Macaca fascicularis: one gene and its partner. The protein of the gene in region 2 purifies or fractionates together with the protein of the main gene of each other region. This does not show direct contact. Links are inferred from orthologs where the notes say so. Each region holds a gene or a part of one and is shown on either strand. Other genes may lie near its edges.

Region 1 (11,000 bases), on a different chromosome or scaffold from region 2:
AGACTTATTCAGTTCCGTTTGCAAACTGCAGTTTTTCTCTAACATATTGGCTGGCTTGAGTCCACTCACAGTTCCAAAGTTTGGACTTGCTATACACTGACTGCTGGCATATGGTTCATGCAGCTTTGGCATCACAGTGCAGGTACTGTTCATTTTGTGTGCACCTCTCTCTTCGGATGTTAACTGACCTTCCACAGTAGCAAGTCCATGAGTAACTTTATTTTCTAAATGATTTCCTGAAGATTGACATACCTGATTTGATTTACCTAAAACCACATCTTCTTTGACTTCAAATGTATTTTTGCCCACATAAACCTTGCTTGAACAAACTCCTGCTAAATCAATTGGTAACTTTGGCAGAATTTCGGGCACATTTGTTTTTTCATCAGTATCTTGAACAATTAAGTCCATTGCCTGTTCTTTTCCTTTAGGGCTTAATTCACAGGCATTTATTGGGTTATTTATAAGTATATGACATGCTGATGATGTCCTGGAACGTCTTCGGTGCATTTTAGGACTCATACTTGGCTCTGGACTAGGTAATTTGGCATATGAACCTGTAAGACTTTTGATAACATTATTTTCAGTAACAAAAGTGGGAATAACTTTAAAATCAGAATTAGACTCTAGAACAGTGGAATGGCCAGTTCGTACAGGTATGTCCACTTTCGAAAAGCTAGCTAAAACTGGCATACTCATGCTGCTTGCTTGAGTGGAAGCACCTTGGAGAAGAACATTTGATTTATTAAGGCTTGGTTTGTCAGGAATAACTGAGACACAGTGTTTGCCTGTCAACTGGGCCTTCTCTTTTACACAGTCAGCCACTTTAACAGCATCATTTTCTTTGTCTATATGACTCTCATTAACAATTCTCATCATACTACCTTTCAGACTGTGTCTAGATTGTTCTCTTTCTATATATTCCTTTGACTTTTTCATCAGATTCTGAAGACTCATTACATAGGGATCTGGGGTGACTTCTGCCAAAAGTGGTAGATCCTGTTGTTCATTTACTGAGAAGAGACCATCAGAAATAAGAGTTTCTTGTGGAGTTGCTGAAGAGGTCTTTGGAAAAGCTTCATTTTCTACATGACTAATATTGGAACTATCACATTGCTTCGGAGAATTAAATCCTTCTGAATCTCTAGCTAAGTCTGTTCCATTAGTTTTACATTGGTCCTCATTATCCAGTGGCAAAATCCCAGCTATCTTATCAAGCTTTGCTGCAGTAGAGTGTTCGGTATGGCTTGGAAAGCTATTTGGAAATGTAGCAGGAACATTCAAGTTTCTGACTTCTGAATTAGAGTAAACCGTTTCCATCTCCCACTGATCAAAATCACTGGCATTAGGTGCTTTTCTAACCTGAAACAGGAAATTTAAAAATTAGTATTTCCTCATTGCACAAAGTCTCTGATTTCACTGTTTTCTAAAATGAAATTGAAGATTCAGAATTCTGACATTTCAAAACATAAAGAAAAACTAAGATGACAGGTTTCTATGGTATCCTGTATCACAGGGGGCTCAAATTATTATTGAAAAAACACCCACTGGTCATCCTGCCTAAGTTATTAAAAGACTTATGAAAAGAAACTTATCTAATCTGATACAAATATGAACATATATATGTGTATACACACACAGATATATTCATATATCCATGTGCAATTTAATCTTAGAATAGAAGCACTTTCCTTAAATTTCTTCTATTCATGTTATTAACATTACCAACTGTTCCTCGTAGGATAGGTATCATCCAAGGATAATAATATATGCAATAAACAGCAAGTAATGAAATGTCTTACATAAATGATTCCCTCTCTAACAAAAACTAACTTGTCCAGGACACTGATTAAGCAAAACTGATTCAGTAATAAGACTCCTGCACCCACATGCTTACTCCAAAATTTAACTAAAATCCCTCCATAAAATGAGGGAAATTTGTAGTAAACAATAGCCCAGCCATGAAGCTTAAATTATTTAGAAATAAGAAATATTTGAACTTAAAACTCAATTCATTAAAACAAAATCCAATTTGATTCATTGATGCTTAGTTAAAACAGCAAGTTGTTAATGAATTTCGGAACAGCCAAAATAGGTAAACATTTGGTAGATGATAAAGATGAGAACTACATATATGAGAAAAAGAAACATAAAATATATGTAAAGCTGGGAGAGGTGGCTCATGCCTGTAATCTCAGCAGTTTGGGAGGCCAAGGCAGGTGAATTGCTTGAGTCTAGGAGTTCGAGACCAGCCTGGCCAACATGGCAAAACTCCATCTCTACAAAAAATACAAAAATTGGCCAGGCATGGTGGCAGGCACTGGTAATCCCAACTACTCAGGAGGCTGAGGCAGGAGAATCACTTGAACCCAGGTGGCGGAGATTGCAGTGAGCTGAGATCACACCACTGCACTCCATCCTGGGTGACAGAGTGAGACTCTGTCTCAATAAATAAATAAATAAATATAAAAATAGATATTTTGTATCTAAATGATCCAACTTTGCAAAAGAATAAAAAGAGAACTACGATGGCTTCTAAAGGTAATTATACATCCGTATATTAAACTGGCAAAAATCATAGTATTATCATATGAATATAGACATCAAAAGCCTGAATATTGGCCCGGTGCGGTGGCTCACGTGTGTAATCCCAGCACTTTGGGAGGCCAAGGCGGGCGGATCATGAAGTCAGGAGATCGAGATCATCCTGGCTAACATGGTGAAACCCCATCTCTACTAAAAATATAAAAAATTAGCTGGGCTTGGTGGTGGGTGCCTGTAGTCCCAGCTACTCGGGAGGCTGAAGCAGGAGACTGGCATGAACCCAGGAAGCGGAGCTTGCAGTGAGCCGAGATCGCGTCACTGCACACCAACCTGGGCAACAGAGTGAGACTCCGTCTCAACAACAACAAAAAAAGCCTGAATATTACAATATTTTTTGGTTGTTTTGTATGTGTTTATTTTTTTCTAGACCACATGGCTCTCCTATTTTACCTTACAAATCCCAAGACAGGTAATGGTTTCCAGGTACTATGCAATACACAGTACAACAAGACATACTTAGTCACAACCTCAGGACCAAAATAAAACAAAAAAGATGCAAAATGGTTTCCAGGTACTATGCAATCAACAGTACAAGACATACTTAGTCACAGCCTCAGGACCAAAATAAAACAAAAAGGATGCATATTTACGAAATCCATGAACATGTTCACAGGTTTAAGTAAAACAGATGATTTCCTTATATAAAATATTTCACATTTGTGATATTCGGAAGCTATGTTGTTTATACGTCACTAAAATGAGCCTTTAGTTAGACAAGCTAAATAACAACAAGAAAAAACTCTATCATAGAATCTTAGGTTTTACAGGTGAAGCAGAAATCTAATTGTTTTATATAAAATTTTCCTATCTGAGTAATTAATTCATTACAGTTCAACATTATATATGCTCTTTTAACAATTTTATTAGTAGTATATTTTATCTTCCCTCAATGGACCAAAAATGATACGCCATTTTCGTATCAATCACAGGAAATATCTAGTAAGTAAAAAACTCACCTCTTATAGTTAAATTAGCACTACTCAATCCATTTTTTAAACTTAATACGGACAGTAATGAAATCTACTACCCACACACTATATACTACTGTGAAAGGGAAATAAAATCTCAGGACCCCAAACTCAACTATGTCAAATGAGAGTCACTATAACTCTCAGACTGTGTCTAGATTGTTCTCTTTCTATATATTCCTTTGACTTTTTCATCAGATTCTAAAGACTCATTACATAGGGATTTCAAGTAACTGAAATGGAAAATCACATGTCAAAGGAAAAAGTAAAGCTTAGGAACTGAGTCACACAAAAACTGCTTTCCTTTTATTCCTAAACAGATAGCTGCAAAATAGAAGGCCACCTATCTACCCAGGTAGCCTCTCTTGCAAATTGCTCACAAGGAAATTCCTTGTAGGCCCCAAAATCTTTACACCAACCCAGAGTTCTGCTGAATCTCACTCTGACAAGATACTGACAAAGACCAAAGATGACTAGAAATCATCCCTTTGGAGACAAATGTATATTTGACTTCTCCTCTACTCTGTTTACTTTATCCTATGTAAAATGCAGATTTATTGAGCTTGAGATGAATGCATAGCTGACTGTTCCTCTACCCCCACCTTTCACATGTGACACGTGGATTCAGTGAGTGCTAATCAAAACCTCACAAAAATGTGACCACTTATCTCACTACCTACCCTACATTTTTTTTCTTTCCTCTTTCCCCTCCTGCTGTTCTTTCCCCTTTAAATACTGAAGTCCTCAAAACCTCTTTTGGAAAAGCACAAGCCACAGATCCTACTGCAACTTTTGTCTCTTTTTCCTTGGCACATCCTCAACCTTGGCAAAACAAACCTCTAAATCGATTGAGACTCGCTTCAGTCATTTTCTTTGGTTTACACTACCAACAGAGAAATGAGCCCTTAAGGTTCATTATACATGTGTCATCTAATACGAATTATACAGACAAACCACAAACTCTTAAGATTATGAAAAAACAAAAAGATGTTATACAGCAGAACACTCCTACATGTTGTAGAAATTATTCGTTCGATCTAATTCATTTGTTTTTCTTTTTAGTACAAAATGATCCACATGTCAGAACAAATTGTTTATACAAATCTAAAAATAACTGCACAAGGTGTAGATGTGTTGTTTAAATAGTTTTTAGACAGGATGCATCTAAACAATTCAACGTATCTAAACTGCATTTTGTGTATCTAAGAGCAGAATTTTCACCAAAAAAAAATTGGGGGCAGTTATTTACTTAAGCAAAGAATGAGAATAAGGTAATTTAGTCAATAGTCTAATTAGTTTGGCCAATAATGCCCAATTCTATCATTTTGTCACTGAGAATTCAATGTTTTTAGAATCACAAAATGCAAACAATAAGCAATTATATTCAGTGTATGGTTCCATTGTGCAAATATCCTCTGATTCAAGTACTGGGCAACACTAACAAGCAAGTGCATTCTCTTTGGAGTAACTGAAATGGAAAATCACAAATTATGAAGCTTCTCAAACTAACAGTAAAGTACATTAGTAATTAGTTAAGTGCAAATATATTTCAGAAAAATTATCATCAATGCTTATCTTATTATTTCTGTATTATAACTGAAACTGCATAAATCACACACCTGAACATTGTCAAGAATCTCCTGGACACGAGTCAGTAAAGTTTTCTTCCTGTTAACCTGCTTTCTTGCTTCTACATCAAGTGCTTTCTGCTTTTCTTGTTGCATTTCCTTTCTTTTCTCAACGTTAAGCTGCAAAACATCATAAAAATGTAATTATTTCCCACGATAAAAATATCATAAAATTGGGAAGTTCTGAATCACAAAGATGAAAAACATGTGCAACAGGCAAAACTAATCTACAGTGAAAGAAATCAGAACAGTGGTCTGGGTACTGAGTGGGATGGGGCATTAGAGATCTTTCCATGGTGAAGAAAATATCCTGTGTGGGTGTGAGTTATACATGTGTATGCCATATATCAAAACTCATGGAACTTTAACACTTCAGATCTGTGTATTTTGCTATGTGTAAATTATTTTCAATTAAAAAGTTAAAAAGAAAAAAAGTTTGTTCACTAATCAAATGTTCTAAAATGACAGAAATAAAATTAAAGCCCTTTTGGCCACTGCTGAGTTTTTTATTACTTCACTTGAATACTGACTTGAATATTACTTCACATTCAGTATCCTTTTTTTTTTTTTTTTTTTTGAGACTGAGTCTTGCTCTGTCACCCAGGCTGGAGTGTAGTGGTGCGATCTCGGCTCACTGCAACCTCTGCCTCCTGGGTTCAAGCAATTCTCCTGCCTCAGCCTCCTGAAGAGCTGGGATTACAGGCATGCACCACCACACCCAGCTAATTTTTGTATTTTTAGTAGAGATGGGGTTTCACCATGTTGGTCAGGCTGGTCTCGAACTCCTGACTTTGTGATTCGCCCACCTCGGCCTCCCAAAGTGCTGGGATTACAGGTGTGAGCCACCGCGCCTGGCCCACGTTCAGTATCTTATTTTACTGGGTCAATTGGATTCTACAACTTTTAATTTTCTAACCAGTGCACAATTTAACTCTTTGCTGCCTCAAAAAATGTCCAAAGGTTTAATGATAAAAGAAACAGATAATGTATTATTTGCCTACAAAATCAGAACACGTCTTTTCTTTCACCTCACTCTACCTTCCGATAAAAATATAATGTACCTAAAAAATGGAAGGCTTCTAAGCATTGTATCTCTTTATAATGGATTTCAATCTTAATTATTAAGTCCTAGGAAATTAAGTCACTGTTAACAGTCAAGACTTATTGTAGACTTACACAAATAGAAAATATATCATTAAAAATTATTTCAAAAGTTGCAATATTCACCTATCAAATACAACATAAAAATGTGGATTAGGTCCATAAACATCAGATTTTGCTTACAAATAACTAACAGATGGAGTCATAGACACCATACAACAAGCCTCAGACATTTTGGTCCACATTAAATCAAGCAATATGTTATCAAATAGCTGGCAAATATGTTGTTTTAAAACTTTTTCCTAATGCATGGTACAAAAGAATCATTATACAATTTACTTGCTAATCAAGAGGAGAAAATGCGTACTTTAAAGAGCCATCTGGCAGTCACTACTGTAAGCAAGTGTTCAAACTAAACATCACTAATAGAGGGCAACTAAACATTATGCAACTTCTGATTTAACTTAGTATGAAGTGTAGGGCATCATCTCCAAAGAATTCCTTATTATTTATTTTTTTGTTTTTGAGATGGAGTCTCAGGTTAGAGTACAGTGGTGCAATCCTGATCCCTCCTGGGTTCAAGCAATTCTCCTGCCTCAGCCTCCCGCACAGCTGGGATTACAGGCAACCGCCGTCATGCCCAGCTAATTTTTATATTTTTAGTAGACAAGGGGTTTCGCCATGTTGGTCAGGCTGGTCTCAGCCTCCCAATGTGCTGGGATTATACTCATGAGCCACCCCGTCCAGCCCCATCTTCAAAGAATTCCAAAAATCTTTTAACCTGTTTATCAAACTTCACTTCCAGTTCATAGGAACTACAGGGACTAGAGAAACAAGTTAAATATCACTATTAGGAAATGATGAGACAAATCCAAGATCTAAGGAATTCTACAAGACAATAGCTCTGGTCTCTTTAAAAATTCAGTATCACAGTTTTGGTTTTTTTAAAAGATAGTATCTCACTCTGTCACCCAGGTTGCAGTGCAGTGGCATGATCAGGGCTCACTGCAGCCTCAGTCTCCTGGGCTCAAGTGGTCCTCCCACCTCAGCCTCTAGAGCAGCTGAGACTACTGGTGCACGCCACTACACCCGGCTGATTTTTGTATTTTGTGTAGGTATGAGATTTCACCCTGTTGCCCTGGCTGGTCTCAAACTCTGGGGATTAAGCAATGCAATACACCCACCTCAGCCTCCCAAAGTGCTGAGATTACAGGCGTGAGGCACCATGCCCAACCAATAAAAAAAATTGTTTTTAAGACATAGAGGAACTGTTCTAGATTAAAATAAAGAAACATAACAAGCAAATACTAATTATGAACTTTGGATCCAGATTGGGGGAATAAAGTTATAAAAGGCATTTTGAGCACAAATGGAAAAATTTAAATATGAACAGAATTATTAGACATTATTAAAAATTATTAATTTTCTTAAGATGTGATAATGGTATTGGGGCTTTATATATGAGAATGTCCTTATTTTTAAGAGATGTATACCAAAATATTTAGGGAAGCAGTGTTAGGTCTTTGTGGTTTTCAAATAGCTAGGCAATTTTTTAAAACGTATGTATGTACACACACACATACATGTATATAAAAATCACAAACACAATAAAGCAAAGATGACAAAAATGTTAAATATTGTTTAATCTAATGGTAAATCTACGGTAGGTCACTGCACTATCCTTTCAATTTTGCTGTATATTTGAAAGTTTCATTACAAAAAGTTGGCAGTTAGCTCTGGTGTCTTTAAAAATTCAATTAAATTGGCCGGGCGCGGTGGCTCAAGCCTGTAATCCCAGCACTTTGGGAGGCCGAGACGGGCGGATCACGAGGTCAGGAGATCGAGACCGTCCTGGCTAACACGGTGAAACCCCGTCTCTACTAAAAAATACAAAAAACTAGCCGGGCGAGGTGGCGGGCGCCTGTAGTCCCAGCTACTTGGGAGGCTGAGGCAGGAGAATGGCGTGAACCCGGGAGGCGGAGCTTGCAGTGAGCTGAGATCCGGCCACTGCACTCCAGCCTGGGTGACAGAGCAAGACTCCGTCTCAAAAAAAAAAAAAAAAAAAAAAAAATTCAATTAAATTAATTAAAATTAATCTCTTAACTCCTGTTATACCAAAACATAAATTTAAAGCTCACTTTTTTCTAATATTAGTTTGTGATTTAAAATAAAGTCATATACATTTTAAAATATCCAATTAGTATCAAACGGTATATGATGAAGTGTCTTCCCTATTATCCTATATTCTCTCACCACTCCCCAGAAAAGGAATAGCCATCCTTTAAAAAACCCAAATGGTTAACTTATATTGGGTACCTCTTATGATCCAGGTGGTATTCTAACCATTTTATAACTATGCATTCATTTAATCTTCAAAATAGCCTTATGAGATAGGCACTATTTTATCCCCATTTAACAAATAAGAAAATGGGCCACAAGTTTACACAGCAAGTAAGTAGCAAAGCAATGATTTGGACCAGGCCAGAAGGCTCCAGAGCCTAGGCTTTTGTTTTTCTTTTTTTCCTTCTTTTGGGACAGGGTCTTGCTCTGTAGCCCAGGCTGGAGATTTTTTCCTTCTCTTGGGACAGGGTCTTGCTCTGTAGCCCAGGCAACAGCGCAATCCTGGCTCCCTGTAGCCTGGAACTCCTAGGTTCAAGGAATCCTTCCACCTTAGCCTTCGAGTAGCTGGGACTACAGGCACATGTCACCACGCCTGCCTAATTTTTTAAAATGTTTTTGTAGAGATGAGGTTTCACTATGTTAACCAGGCTAGTCTTGAATTCCTGGTCACAAGCAATCCTTTCCCTTCCAGCCTCTCAAATAACTGGGACTATAGATGTGAGCCACCGTGCCTGGTCCACAGCCTGGACCTCTAATCGTGACTCTATACTGCCCCTGACAGCATGCTGCACACAGTGTTTTACACTAGATCATCAAGATCCTTCCATGCCTCAACATTTACATCTGCCTTACTGTAATGGTAAGTAAGAGATTTTATAAAATGGACCACAGTTAAACTACTCCACTACTGATGGACATTTAGGTTGTTCGTCAACCTTTGCTATTTTAAACAATGCTAATGTAACTCTGTACTTACTTCTTTAGGCTCACGTATAATTGTAGGATACACCCCAAAATGGAACTGCTGACTCAAAGGCTATGTATGCTTTTAAATTCTACCAAACTCTCATCTAGAAATAAAATAAACTGATTCTCTTAGCAAAAGTGCATTAAAAGTGCATTTTCTCCACAGTCTAAGGAACACAAGGTTCTATTAGCTCTTTGTCAATCTATAATAGTAAGTAAAAAATGCTAATTCATTTGCATTTCTCTAATTCTAAATAAGGGCAGCTCTTCGAATGTTTATAAGCCTTTCTTTTGTTTTTCCATGAACTGTTTTAGTTGTTCACTACAGAAAAAAACTATTTAAAAACAAAGCAAGTTTACCAGTGGAGAAAGGATAGCCACTCCATGAAAGCGAATAAGTGAGATACTTTCAGACTGAGTAGGGAGAAAGCTCTCTGTGGATAGTGATGCTTCTTGTATTCTGGCAAGACTTTTTTCACAGAACTTCTCATACTCCTCCATCTTCCCACAGTCACACTACAAGAGAGAAAAATGTTATTTTTAATGTATTGGGAAAAACAGATCTTATTTGGCAGATTTTGCAGAGCATGAGAGAGTCCCTATAATTCACAATTCCTATAACTGGTCCTCCCAGAATTGTCTTACTAAGGCTGGGCGCGGTGGCTCAAGCCTGTAATCCCAGCACATTGGGAGGCCAAGACAGGTGGATCACTAGGTCAGGAGATCGAGACCATCCTGGCTAACACGGTGAAACCCCGTCTGTACTAAAAAATACAAAAAACTAGCCGGGCGAGGTGGCGGGCGCCTGTAGTCCCAGCTACTCAGGAGGCTGAGACAGGAGAATGGCCCGAACCCGGCAGGCGGAGCTTGCAGTGAGCTGAGATCCGGCCACTGCACTTCAGCCTGGGCGACAGAGCGAGACTCCATCTCAAAAAAAAAAAAAAAAAAAAAAAAAAAAAAAAGAATTGTCTTACTAATCAGGAGCTAATTCTTGTGTATGGTAATTCACCTCAAGAACATGTCCAATTAAGATGTCCTTGATATATTAAATATTTCTGAATATTATTGCATGTAAATCAATCTTTAAATGGGATTAATTTAGCTAAGAATTCATAACCTTCTTAAAGAAAACTAAGTTCTGTACACCTTTACTAACTTCAGATTGTAAAATAGGATATTATATTTTCTTTAACAGGACTTATCTACACAAGAAAAACTATATCATACAAAGGTAGAAACACTGTAGTAAAAAAGCCTACTTAAATCAAAGAATATTTACTTTTAAAAATTTTCTACTTTGAAGTTCAAAGGTTACTTTTTTTTTTTTTTAAAGAGATAGGGTCTCACTATGTTGCCCAAATTGGATTCCAGTGACTATTCACAGGTTCGATCACAGTGCACTATAGTCTCAAACTCCCAGACTCAAGCAATCCTCCTGCCTCAATTTGCCTATCTTAACACTATACTTGGACTCCATGGGCACCAGTCAACTCAGTCAGAGGTAAAAAACAGAAAATCGATTGGCTCTGATATTAATTATATTTTATTGTTGAAAATTGGAACCATCACCAAACTACTTAAAACAATCCCAGTAATTTCACAGTTTCTGGGA
Region 2 (11,000 bases):
TATTCAATAAGTATTGACCAGTGGTAATGACAAAAAGTAAGGTTATTGTGTTTGGGGATAACAGAAAAATACAAAAGATAAGATGATGCCTCCTTGAGGGAATTACTGTGACAGAGGCATCATTAAGGAAGTCTTAGACAGTGATTGGATAGGGCTATTACGATGGCTATAAGTAGCCATGGAACTAGATAGCATTACAACTAATTGGTCATTTAGTCCATTTTCAAAATAAATATCTCCCACTGAGACCTAATAGACCATGCATTGATCAGCAATCGATAAGGCTGTTAAAGTGATTGGGTTGGTTTTACAGCGGCCTAATAATTTAGTACCAATAGAAACACTCAGTGGATTACTCTGAATATCACTGTGAAACGCAATTTTGGTAACCAAAGAAAAAGAAGAACAATACAAGTTAGAAAGTGGGGGAAAGTGTTAACAAATTTGACTTCAGCATTAAAGGATTTATTCCACTAATGTAAGATCTCAGCTAAGGTGACTTGCTAGCATACCACATTTTTTTTCTCTCTACCAGCTACTCAGTTTTGAGGCAAGAGAACAAGAGAGAGAAAGAATAAATATAATATGAATGTTTAGGGAAGTAGATTCAGAGTAAGAGAAACTGTGTATTCGTAAATCTTAACATCTGATGGATTATCTGGTTTTAGATTACTCACAATTGTTTCACAGTCTTAGGAGTACCTAAGTGATGATTCTTTCCATCTGTGGAGTTTGCTGTTTCCCTATGAGACTAGATAATTATTGCAAGGTACCTTCAGCTTGGAGTAAGTTCCTTTCAATACCAAACTCTTTCTCCTTCGACTCTTCATAATCACTCTAGCAGGTAGTGAACATTATTTACATGTCTGAGTTATTAGTGTTTTATTTAAACCCTTATATGGTAGATGTGAAATCGTATCCTTGGATTATATTTACCCACTGCAGTCTACCCTGTATAAAGTGGTCTGCTCAGAGCCCAATTTTCACCAATTAATTATAAGCCCAAGACAGCTGAGAATGAAAATAAGCACATGGCTGGCAACTGTGGGTCCTGCTGCCCAAAAAGATATTGTTCATCATTAAACCCAAGTCTCAAACTCAGCAGATGAGAAGTTCACACTATGAGATGCAAGCAAGAATGGAAATCAACTGTGTGACATCTCATAGTCACTCTGGGGCATATATTCAGTGACTGGTCCTGTTGACAACTACTTAATTATTTATTTGTTTTTTATTTTTATATTATTTTAGAGGCAGATCCTCCCTCTGTTGCCCAGGCTGGAGTGCAGTGGTGCAATCATAGTGCACTGTAATGCAGAACTCCTGGGCTCAAGTGATCCTCCCACCTCAGCCTCCTGAGTAGCTAACACTACAGGTACACACCACCATGCTAGGCTAGTTTTAAATTTTTTTCTGGAGAGACAGGGTCTCGCTATGGTGCCCAGGGTGGTCTCAAACTCTCCAGCTCAAGTGATCCTCCTGCTGCAGCCTCCCAAAGCGCTGGGATTATAGGCATGAGCCACCACACCTGGCTCCACTTCATTATTTAAATTATTTTTATTCCTTCATCCCTCTTTTTTTTTTTGCTGAATATGTATAATTAAATTCACACAAAGCATGTTAAGTGAATATATGATGTAGCTCCACTGCACAAGAGAAATTGTTTTTGTATTCCCTATTGCACCATCTTTTTAAAAAAATGAAGGCCCTGGATATCAATGACTTAAAACAGTGTCACATCAGGAATGAATGTCAACACCCAAACCAGAAACATGATTTTCTGTGTTCTAACAGAAACCTATATGCCATCACTCAAACAAAAAGCAAAAAAAATAAAACAACGACATACTTGATAATATTAGTTCCAAACATAAAAGGAAAACATCATACCTGCAGAATATATTGAGTGAGGTCAACTGCTTCTTTCTTCTCATGCACAAGTAGAGTTTCTTTATCTTCTACAGTAATAATATTAATTTCTCCACGACGTACCTCCCTCATGCCCAGGGGGCGTTTTCGAACACAAACTCTGATTTTCTCCATCTCAGTCCAAGGATTCTGTTTCTCTGAAGTGTTCTGTCTAATATATGTTTATAAACAGGCTTTTAATTTTTAATAATAGGACAAGATTACTTAACAGGTCAAAGTATGGGTACATTTTGCTGTATATTAGGCATAATATATTTCTTAAAGTTACAAAGTAAAGGGTCAACCCTGAGAAAGTTCTTCTATCTCCATCCCCACCCTACTCCACCTCTTCCCCTGCAAAAACATAAAAAACAGAACAACAAAAACCAATCAACAAACAAAAAAACCCCTAAGAGATCTTATATAGGATACTATTTTATACAATTGTTTCACATCAATTCTGATCTTCTTAGCCCTCCAACTGGCTGCTGAAAAAAAATTTCTGTCATGGAGGCTGGAATGCATTGGCATAACCACGGCTCATTGCAGCCTCGACCTCCTGGGTTCAAGCAATTCTACCTTAGCCTCCCGAGTAGCTAGGACTATAGGCATACACCACCATAGCTGGCTAATTTTTGTAATTTTTGTAGGGACAGGGTCCCACTATCTTGCCCAGGCTGGTCTTGAACTTATGGCCTCAAGCAATCCTCCCACTTTGGCCTCTCAAAGTGCTGGGATTACAAGCATGAGCCATCACGCCCAGCCTGGAAAATTATTTTTTTACTGGGATCTGAATTGGTTAAAAAAAAAAAAAAAAAACAGCAAATAATTTTCTAATATAATGCATAAAGCACTACTTTTATGGCATGTTTTAAAGCAAATTTTATTTTCTTAACCAACATTTAGTGACTTTAAAATGCATCATTTTTGCATGAAACTGCAGGTGGAATAAAGAATGAAATGTACCATTTTGAGGTACCGTGGGAAAATCTTGACAATCATTAAAACTAGACGATGGGCCAGGTGCAGTGCCTCACGCCTGTAATCCTGGCACTTTGAGAGGCTGAGGCGAGCAGATCACTTGAGGTCAGGAGTTCAAGACCAGCCTGGCCAACGTGGTGAAACCCCATCTCTACTAAAAATATAAAACTTAGCCGGATGTGCTCACTTAAACCCAGGAGGTGGAGCTCACAGGTGAGATAGTGCCATTGCATTTCAGCCTGGGCAACAGAGCAAGACTCTGTCTTAAAAAAAAGAAAAAGAAAAAGAAACTGGATGACGGACATATTGGGATTCAGTGTTCTATTTTTTCTTCTTTTGCATATGTTTGATTTTTCACAAGAAAACAGAATTTTTTGTTTTGTTTTGTTTTGAGACAGGGTCTTGCTCTATCACCGAGACTGGAGTGCAGTGGTGTGAGCACAGCTCACTGCAGCCTCAACCTCCTGGGCTGAAGCCATCCTCCCACTTCAGCCAATAGTAGCTGGAACTACAGGTGCACACCACCATGCCTGGCTAATTTTTGTAGAGCCAGGGTCTCACCATGTTGCCCAGGCTGGCCTCGAACTCCTGGACTCAAGCAATCTGCCTGCCTTGGCCTCCCAAAATGCCAGGATTACAGGTATGAGCCACTGTGCTCATCAAAAATGAAAAATTTTAATTTTTTAAATTTTTTTTTATTTTTGAGACAGAGTCTCGCTGTGTCACCCAGGCTGGAGTACAGTGGCACAATCTTGGCTCACTGCAACCTCTGCCTCCTGGGTTCAAGCAATTCTCCTACCTCAGCCTTTAGAATAGCTGGGATTATAGGCACCTGCCATGACGCCCAGCTAATTTTTGTATTTTTAGTAGAGATAGGGTTTAGCCATGTTGGCCAGGCTGGTCTTGAACTCCTGACTTCAGGCGATCGACCTGGCTTGGACTCCAAAGTGCTGGGATTACAGGTGTGAGCCACTGCACCTGGCCTAATGTATCATTTTAATAAGGGTTTTGTGTTAAAATCTTTAGTTGTTGGATATCAATAACCTAATCATATAAAGTTGATCAAACAGTACAGAAAATGTTTAGTCCTTTTTAAAATTGCCCAGGGCTCAAGGATGACTCATATGAACAAAAGGCCCATAGTTTTCAAGTTCAAGGGGCAAAAAGACATGCATGTTTTCTAAAAAGCTCAGTTTGGGCAGGGTGGAGTGGCTCTCACCTGTAATCCCAGTGCTTTGGGAAGCTTAGGTGGGAGGATCACTTGAGGTCAGGAGTTCAAGACCAGCCTGGGTAACATAGTGAGATCCCCATCTCTACAAAAAATTAAAAAATTAGCTGGGGACAGTAGTGTGTACCTGTAGTCCTAGCTACCTGGGTGGCTGCAGCAGGAGGATCGCTTGACCTCAGGAGTTTGATGCTGCAGTGGGCAATACTGCACCACTGCACTCCAGCCTTGGTAACAGAGCAAGACCTTGTCTCTATAAAACAAACAAACAAAGAGTCAAATAAATGAAATGGTAATGGTTAAACTAAAATATCCATCCTATCCTTGATGTTTTTAAATAATGCAAAGCGGTATTTTTATTTATAAGTAATTCCAATTTAGATTTTTATGTATTATTCAATAAAAAAGTAATATTCAAGAAAATAGGCCGGGCGCAGTGGTTCACGCCTGTAATCCCAGCACTTTGGGAGGCAGAGGTGGGCGGATCACAAGGTCAGGAGATTGAGACCATCCTGGCTACCATGCTGAAACCCCATCTCTACTAAAAATACAAAAAATTAGCCAGGCATGGTGGCGGGCGCCTATAGTCCCAGCTACTCGGGAGGCTGAGGCAGAATGGCGTGAACCCGGGAGGCGGAGCTTGCAGTGAGCCAAGATCGCGCCACTGCACTCCAGCCTGGGCGACAGTGTGAGACTCCATCTTGAAAAAAAAAAAAAGAAAGTATTTACTCCTTTACCACTGAGGTAACCAACAGAATAGCAACAATCTGCCTTCATAGTCAAGGAACAATCTATTCCTCTCAGAATTAAAAGAAGAAAACAGTATTACATGCTCTGTGATCTCCTAGACCAAACAAAATGTTTCCAGAAATACTATAAAAATTCACTGATATATTTCAAATTATTAAAGATATTTTTACTGTTTAAACTGAGTCTTCTATTTTTATGGAGTAAAGAACTGATTATGAGATCTTCTGAAACCTTAGCCAATGTAAGACCAGATACAAATACTTTATCTTAAGGTATGAATAATAGTATTTTTAAAAAGAAAATATGGCTCAAGAATGAATTTTATTTTCCCATAACTAACATACATAACATTTAAAATAAAACAAGGAATTTTTTTTTTTTTTTACAAGAACATATTTCCTACTATACCATTGTTAGTAGTAGGGATTACTTGTTATTTCACCTCTTAGGGACCTTATTTCAAACTCTAACTCGAAGCACTAGGTGAAAATAACTTATTGTCACCCTGACTCTCAAACTCTAATCTCCACCTACAATGTCTTACTGTTTGTAACCACCAAAATTGTTTTTTCCAGGGTTGAAACTATAGAAAGCACTCAAAATCAGGATCGTATTTCAATGTGTGCAGGTGAACTAACTGCTCCAAAGACCTACTTAATTAAACTACATGCCCTTGTTTTTAACAAAGCATCTTTAAGTCTCCTGGTTGGGTTAAGTGAATTTGATAACCTTAAAAAAGTTCTGTGGATTGTGTAATTTTTTTCTCTATTGTAGAAGGGTTAACTATTTTACTTTCACGGATGTACTAGATGTATCATGTTACGCTATAATAAATAATAGAAACAAGTCTGCTACAGATCCTGGCAAGTCGCAGCTGTTTTGATGTACATGAACAATATCATCTTTCTCCCACCTAGAAAGTTCCCAATTTCTCATTAATTTTCCCACATCCAGGTATTCCTATTATTGATGCAAAAGCTGTTCATGATAATTTCTGTTATATTCATTTACTGTAAATAAGGAGTAGATGCTGTCTGCTGGACATGAAGGAGAGGCCTGCCCTTGCCTAAGGCTACTTTCCCTCAAAAGAAAGAAAGATAAAATTTATTACCTGATACAAGAATGAGGGATTCCATAGTTATACCCTGAAACATGAGAGATTCTTTGAATAATGGGAATATCACAATCCCCCAGTATTGGAGAAAAGTAATTTGGTGAAAAGAGTGAAGTGCTGATTTCTGTTTGCACATAGGAATCACCAGCTGTGGCATTCATAATTCCTGTTTTTGTATGGTACTGGGAATCATCTGGTAGCGTGTGTTCTAGCACTTTTAGGTAAGTGGACTTCTGTTCATATGCAGAGAAATCTGATAAACTGCACATTTCAAACCCATCATTGCTGGCATTTGTGTCTTTATTGTCAGCAGGAGAATCAAAATTCAGTTGTCTGCGAGGGCCAGATCTTAATTCCTGAGACTTGATGCGCAGGCTGCTTGTCTGAAGATGACGCTCTGGGATACTGACTGCTTTATCTTCTTCTTGCATAATCTTAATAATTTTGATAAGTTGGAAGAGACGTTTGCGGTCGTTCATGTCATGGACTCCTAATTTGGCGTAGTCTTTCATTGTAATCTTGGCTAATTCATCTATTTTCTGAAGGCCAAGGGCAGTGAAATGAGAATAATACTGTGCAAGTTCAGCTTCACAAAGACATTCATATAACCAGGATGCCATTTTGGTGAATAGGTTTCTATAAACTCTGAAGAGAGAAAGAAAAGCCATTCGCTTGAAATAGAGTATATGCAATACAATTATTTATTTAAAAAAATGAAAACCACAAAACCACAAACATGCAAAAAATGTTTTATCTGTCAAGTTCTCAACAAACATATTTTTCTTGTGAAATTATTAATTAAATAGCATAGTGCATGAACAAAGATGCTTTGTATTGCACATGAAGAATTTGTGGTAACACATAATTTGTTAATTTGCTTAATAAAAAGAGACCTTCCATTATATATATATATACACACAGATACACAAATGAACACGTACATAACACATAACTTACTTATTTCTAGGGAGTTCCTTCCAACCTTGCAATGTCTACTTAACACATGCCACAACTATTGAAACCTTGTTCCCAACAACTGATTGTAGCAGGACTAATTTTAGATGCTCAACTTAATGTCAAGGCATGCTGCACAACTGTTTCCCATGAATAATGAGCAGGGCCTAAGAACTCTTTCAGAATGAAAAGTAGAATTAAATGGCATACCACAGAGGATTATAAACTAATGTAACTCAAAGGAAGATAGCATTTGTATTTGCTGAGTACTGGCAAAAGTTAGTTAAATAGAAGTGAAGACATCATCAATTTGGCATCAACCAATTCAGGATTTCAGATCATTCCAAAAGGTGGTCATCGATCTCTATCTGTACAGAATATGAATCAAATAATTTACCCAGGAAATTAATACTAAGGTCAAGATTTTAAATAGTTGTACATTTAAATGTTTTTAAAAATTTTTAACATCGAGAAACTTAATTGAATACTAACACATAATGTGGTAAAAACACATAATCCTAGTCTATTATTAAAGTCAGGATCCTGAGCTCTCTATATCGCTGTTAATCAAGTTCATGAGAATATCCAAAAGTAAATACACTACATTTTCTTTTTTAAAATGGTTTTATAATTCAGAGTTTTCAAAAATTCAGTTAGGTAACTAGTGGTAAAACTTTCCTGTTTTCACTTTAATTTATATTTGATCTTCTATCTAGCAGAAATAGAGAAAAAGTAGAGGGTAAGGTAATAAAGATAATCAAAGAACCTTGAATAATTAGCTTTGGGGGAAATACTACTTAGGCTAAAAGGCTAAATGGGCTGAGTAACACATCCTAAACTAATCCTGGCCTTTTCTATTTGTGGTAGATTTGGTTTTTGTTTTGTTTTGTTTTGTTTTTTTGAGATGGAGTCTCGCTCTGTTGCCCAGGCTGTAGTGCAGTGGTGGTATCTTGGGTCACTGCAACTTCTACCTCCAGGTTCAAGCAATTCTCCTGCCTCAGCCTCCTGAGTAGCTGGGATTTACAGGTGCGTGCCACCATGCTTGGCTATTTTTTTTGTATTTTTAGTAGAGAGGAGGTTTCACCATGTTGGCCAGGCTCGTCTTGAACTCCTGACCTCGAGTGATCCACCCACCTCGGACTCCCAAAGTGCTGGGGGTTACAGGCATAAGCCACCATGCCCAGCCCAGTTTAGACACTTTAAAATATATAGATACCTGAGCCCCATCCCAGATCTATAGAAAACCACAAAACAACCAGAAATAACTCCCAGGTTTTAGGAAGGGCAGACATAAGAACTTCGGAAAAGTTCCCTAGGTAATTATGATTGTATGCCGCTGATTTATATCTATCAAAATTACAAATGCAAATGCACTGATCCAGCAATTCCACCTCTAGGAACTTATCCTTATCCTTCAGATAATACATACAAGTACAAAATGACATAAGTGTAATGCTATTCATTACAGCACTGCTTGTAATAGCAAAGTCATGGAATAGAGACTGGTTAAATAATGATAGTCCATTTAATGAAAACATGCTATGAGACAATTACAAGGAGTAAGTAAACTGTAAAATATTATTTAAAAAAGAAAGCTATCCAATATATTGTTACTAAAGCAAGGTACAGAACAGTTTATAAAACAGAGAGATAAATGATATATAATAAATCTACATATTTGCTTATCAGACAAAAAATATCACTGAAGGATGCACAATAATAGTGGTCTTGAAAGGGTGAGGGGAAGTAGGTAGTAGAGGGTGATTATGGGAAAACTACTGTATGCTTGTAAATGCTGGTAGTTATTACTACCTTTCCTATTGTCATTTCTATTTCACTGGTGTCTCTATCACCCAGGGCAAGACCTAAAACAGTTTATTTTTTAAATTTTGAAACTATGTGACTGTATTTTTTATTTTAAAAATATATTTCTAAATAAAAATATTATACATATTTCTAATTCCACCTCCCTTCCTCCCTCTCGGTCTCCCTAAATTGACCTGATACAATTGTTTCTTAAGATTTTGATGGCTTTCTAGCCTTTTAAAAAATTGTATATAACACTGTACTCATAACTATATTGCAATCTATGTTTTAATTTAACATAAACATTCTCATATGCTATTTGTTACAGGCATAAAAAACAATTCATACTATCATAAATATTTGTTGACTAGCTTAATTACCCCAGGGAAATGTGACTTCTCTCTAAACTCCTGCAGAGTTTTGGTGATAAAACTGATAGGGCATTTATGATATACATACTCATTTTTAAAAAATTTATTGCCAGTCTTGTTCCAGAGATAATATAAGATGGTTCTGCCTTGTACTACTGTGTGAATTATTAAAGACAAAAGCAATATGATCCCACTCAGTCAAGTACTGTGCTAGATAGGTGCGCACCAATTTTTTTTTTTTTTTTTTGAGACGAGTCTCGCTCTGTCGCCCTGGCTGGAGCGCAGTGGCCGGATCTCAGCTCACTGCAAGCTCCACCTCCCGGGTTTCCGCCATTCTTCTGACTCAGCCTCCTGAGTAGCTGGGACTACAGGCGCCCGCCACCTCGCCCAGCTAGTTTTTTGTATTTTTTAGTAGAGACGGGGTTTCACTGTGTTCGCCAGGATGGTTTCGATCTCCTGACCTCGTGATCCGCCCGTCTCGGCCTCCCAAAGTGCTGGGATTACAGGCTTGAGCCATCACGCCCGGCCACGACAAATATTTTAAGTGAACAGTATCCGCTTAGATTCTGTTCGTTTAAAATATTTAGAAATGGGCCAGACACAGTGGCTCATGCCTGTAATCCCAGCACTTTGGGAGGCCAAACCTGGCGGATCACCTGAGGTCAGGAGTTTGAGAACAGCCTGGCCAACATGACGAAACCCCTACTAAAAACGCAACAATTACTCAGGCATGGTGGCGCACGCCTGTAATCCCAGCTACTCAGGACGCTGAAGCAGGAGAATCACTTGAATCCAGGAAGCAGAGGGTGCAGTGAGCTGAGATTGTGCCATTGCACTCCAACCTGGGTGAGACAGCGAGACTCTGTCTTTAAAAAAAAAAAAAAAATTTAGAAGTGTTCCATTATCGGCTGGGCCTGGTGGCTCATGCCTGTAATCCCAGCACTTTGGGAGGCCAAGGCAGGTGGAACACGAGGTCAGGAGATCGAGACCATCCTGGCCAACATGGTGAAACCCTGTCTCTACTAAAAATACAAAAATTAGCTGGGTGTGGCGGCATGTGCCTATAATCCCAGCTACTCAGGAGGCTGAGGCACTTGAACCTAGGAGGTGAAGGGTGCAGTAAGCCGAGATTGTGCCACTGCACTCCAGTCTGGCAATAGAGCAAGACTCTATTTAAAAAAAAAAAGAAAAGTCCATTATCTCTACTGTTTTGCCCAAGGCAACCAAGTGATTAAAAGATTCCATGACACCTGCTTATGTGGCCATAGAGCCATTTTCTCTGAGTTTCCTAATTCTTTACAAGTACCATCACCCAAATTAATGGCAACATCCTCAGGGTCCTTACAACTTTAAGAAACCGAATATCCACAATATTGTTACCAACTTCACTCTGAACACTTCATATGGTTTAAAAAAGCATTTTATGTAAAAGGCTAATTCCATTATGCCAGCAGATAGTCCACATTCATACTACTTTGATGATCTGATTAAACTAAAATGTACTGAGTTATATTTTATGCCAAGCACTATCTTAGATGCTTTATGTAAAAAATATTCATTGTTAAGTCAGAATTCCATTTTAAAAACTCGAAGCAAACTCCTAAAGTAAAAATAGTGCTTTCTGGCTGGGCGCAGTGGCTCACACCTGTAATCCCAGCACTTTGGGAGGCAGAGGCGAGTGGATCACGAAGTCAGGAGTTCGAGACCAGCCTGGCCAGCATGGTGAAACCCCTGTCTCTATTAAAAATTTGTTTCAGGCCGGGCGCGGTGGCTCAAGCCTGTAATCCCAGCACTTTGGGAGGCCGAGACGGGTGGATCACGAGGTCAGGAGATCGAGACCATCCTGGCTAACACGGTGAAACCCCATCTCTACTAAAAAATACAAAAAACT

What was found.
Region 1: the proteins of KIF24 (region 2) and CCP110 purify together in Homo sapiens (co-immunoprecipitation; 4 studies listed by BioGRID and IntAct, with this or other methods). This does not show direct contact. The link is inferred for Macaca fascicularis from reciprocal best matches to the Homo sapiens genes KIF24 and CCP110.

Annotation. Positions count from the first base shown.
Region 1 is NC_088394.1:19,073,152-19,084,151, reverse strand, and holds part of CCP110 (centriolar coiled-coil protein of 110 kDa), read right to left. Parts: intron 9,905-11,000; coding exon 9,749-9,904; intron 5,321-9,748; coding exon 5,192-5,320; intron 1,363-5,191; coding exon 1-1,362.
Region 2 is NC_088389.1:65,075,696-65,086,695, reverse strand, and holds part of KIF24 (kinesin-like protein KIF24), read right to left. Parts: intron 7,040-11,000; exon of another isoform or gene 6,936-7,039; intron 6,624-6,935; 5' UTR 6,599-6,623; coding exon 5,976-6,598; intron 2,081-5,975; coding exon 1,891-2,080; intron 1-1,890. UniProt on the Homo sapiens protein: Microtubule-dependent motor protein that acts as a negative regulator of ciliogenesis by mediating recruitment of CCP110 to mother centriole in cycling cells, leading to restrict nucleation of cilia at centrioles.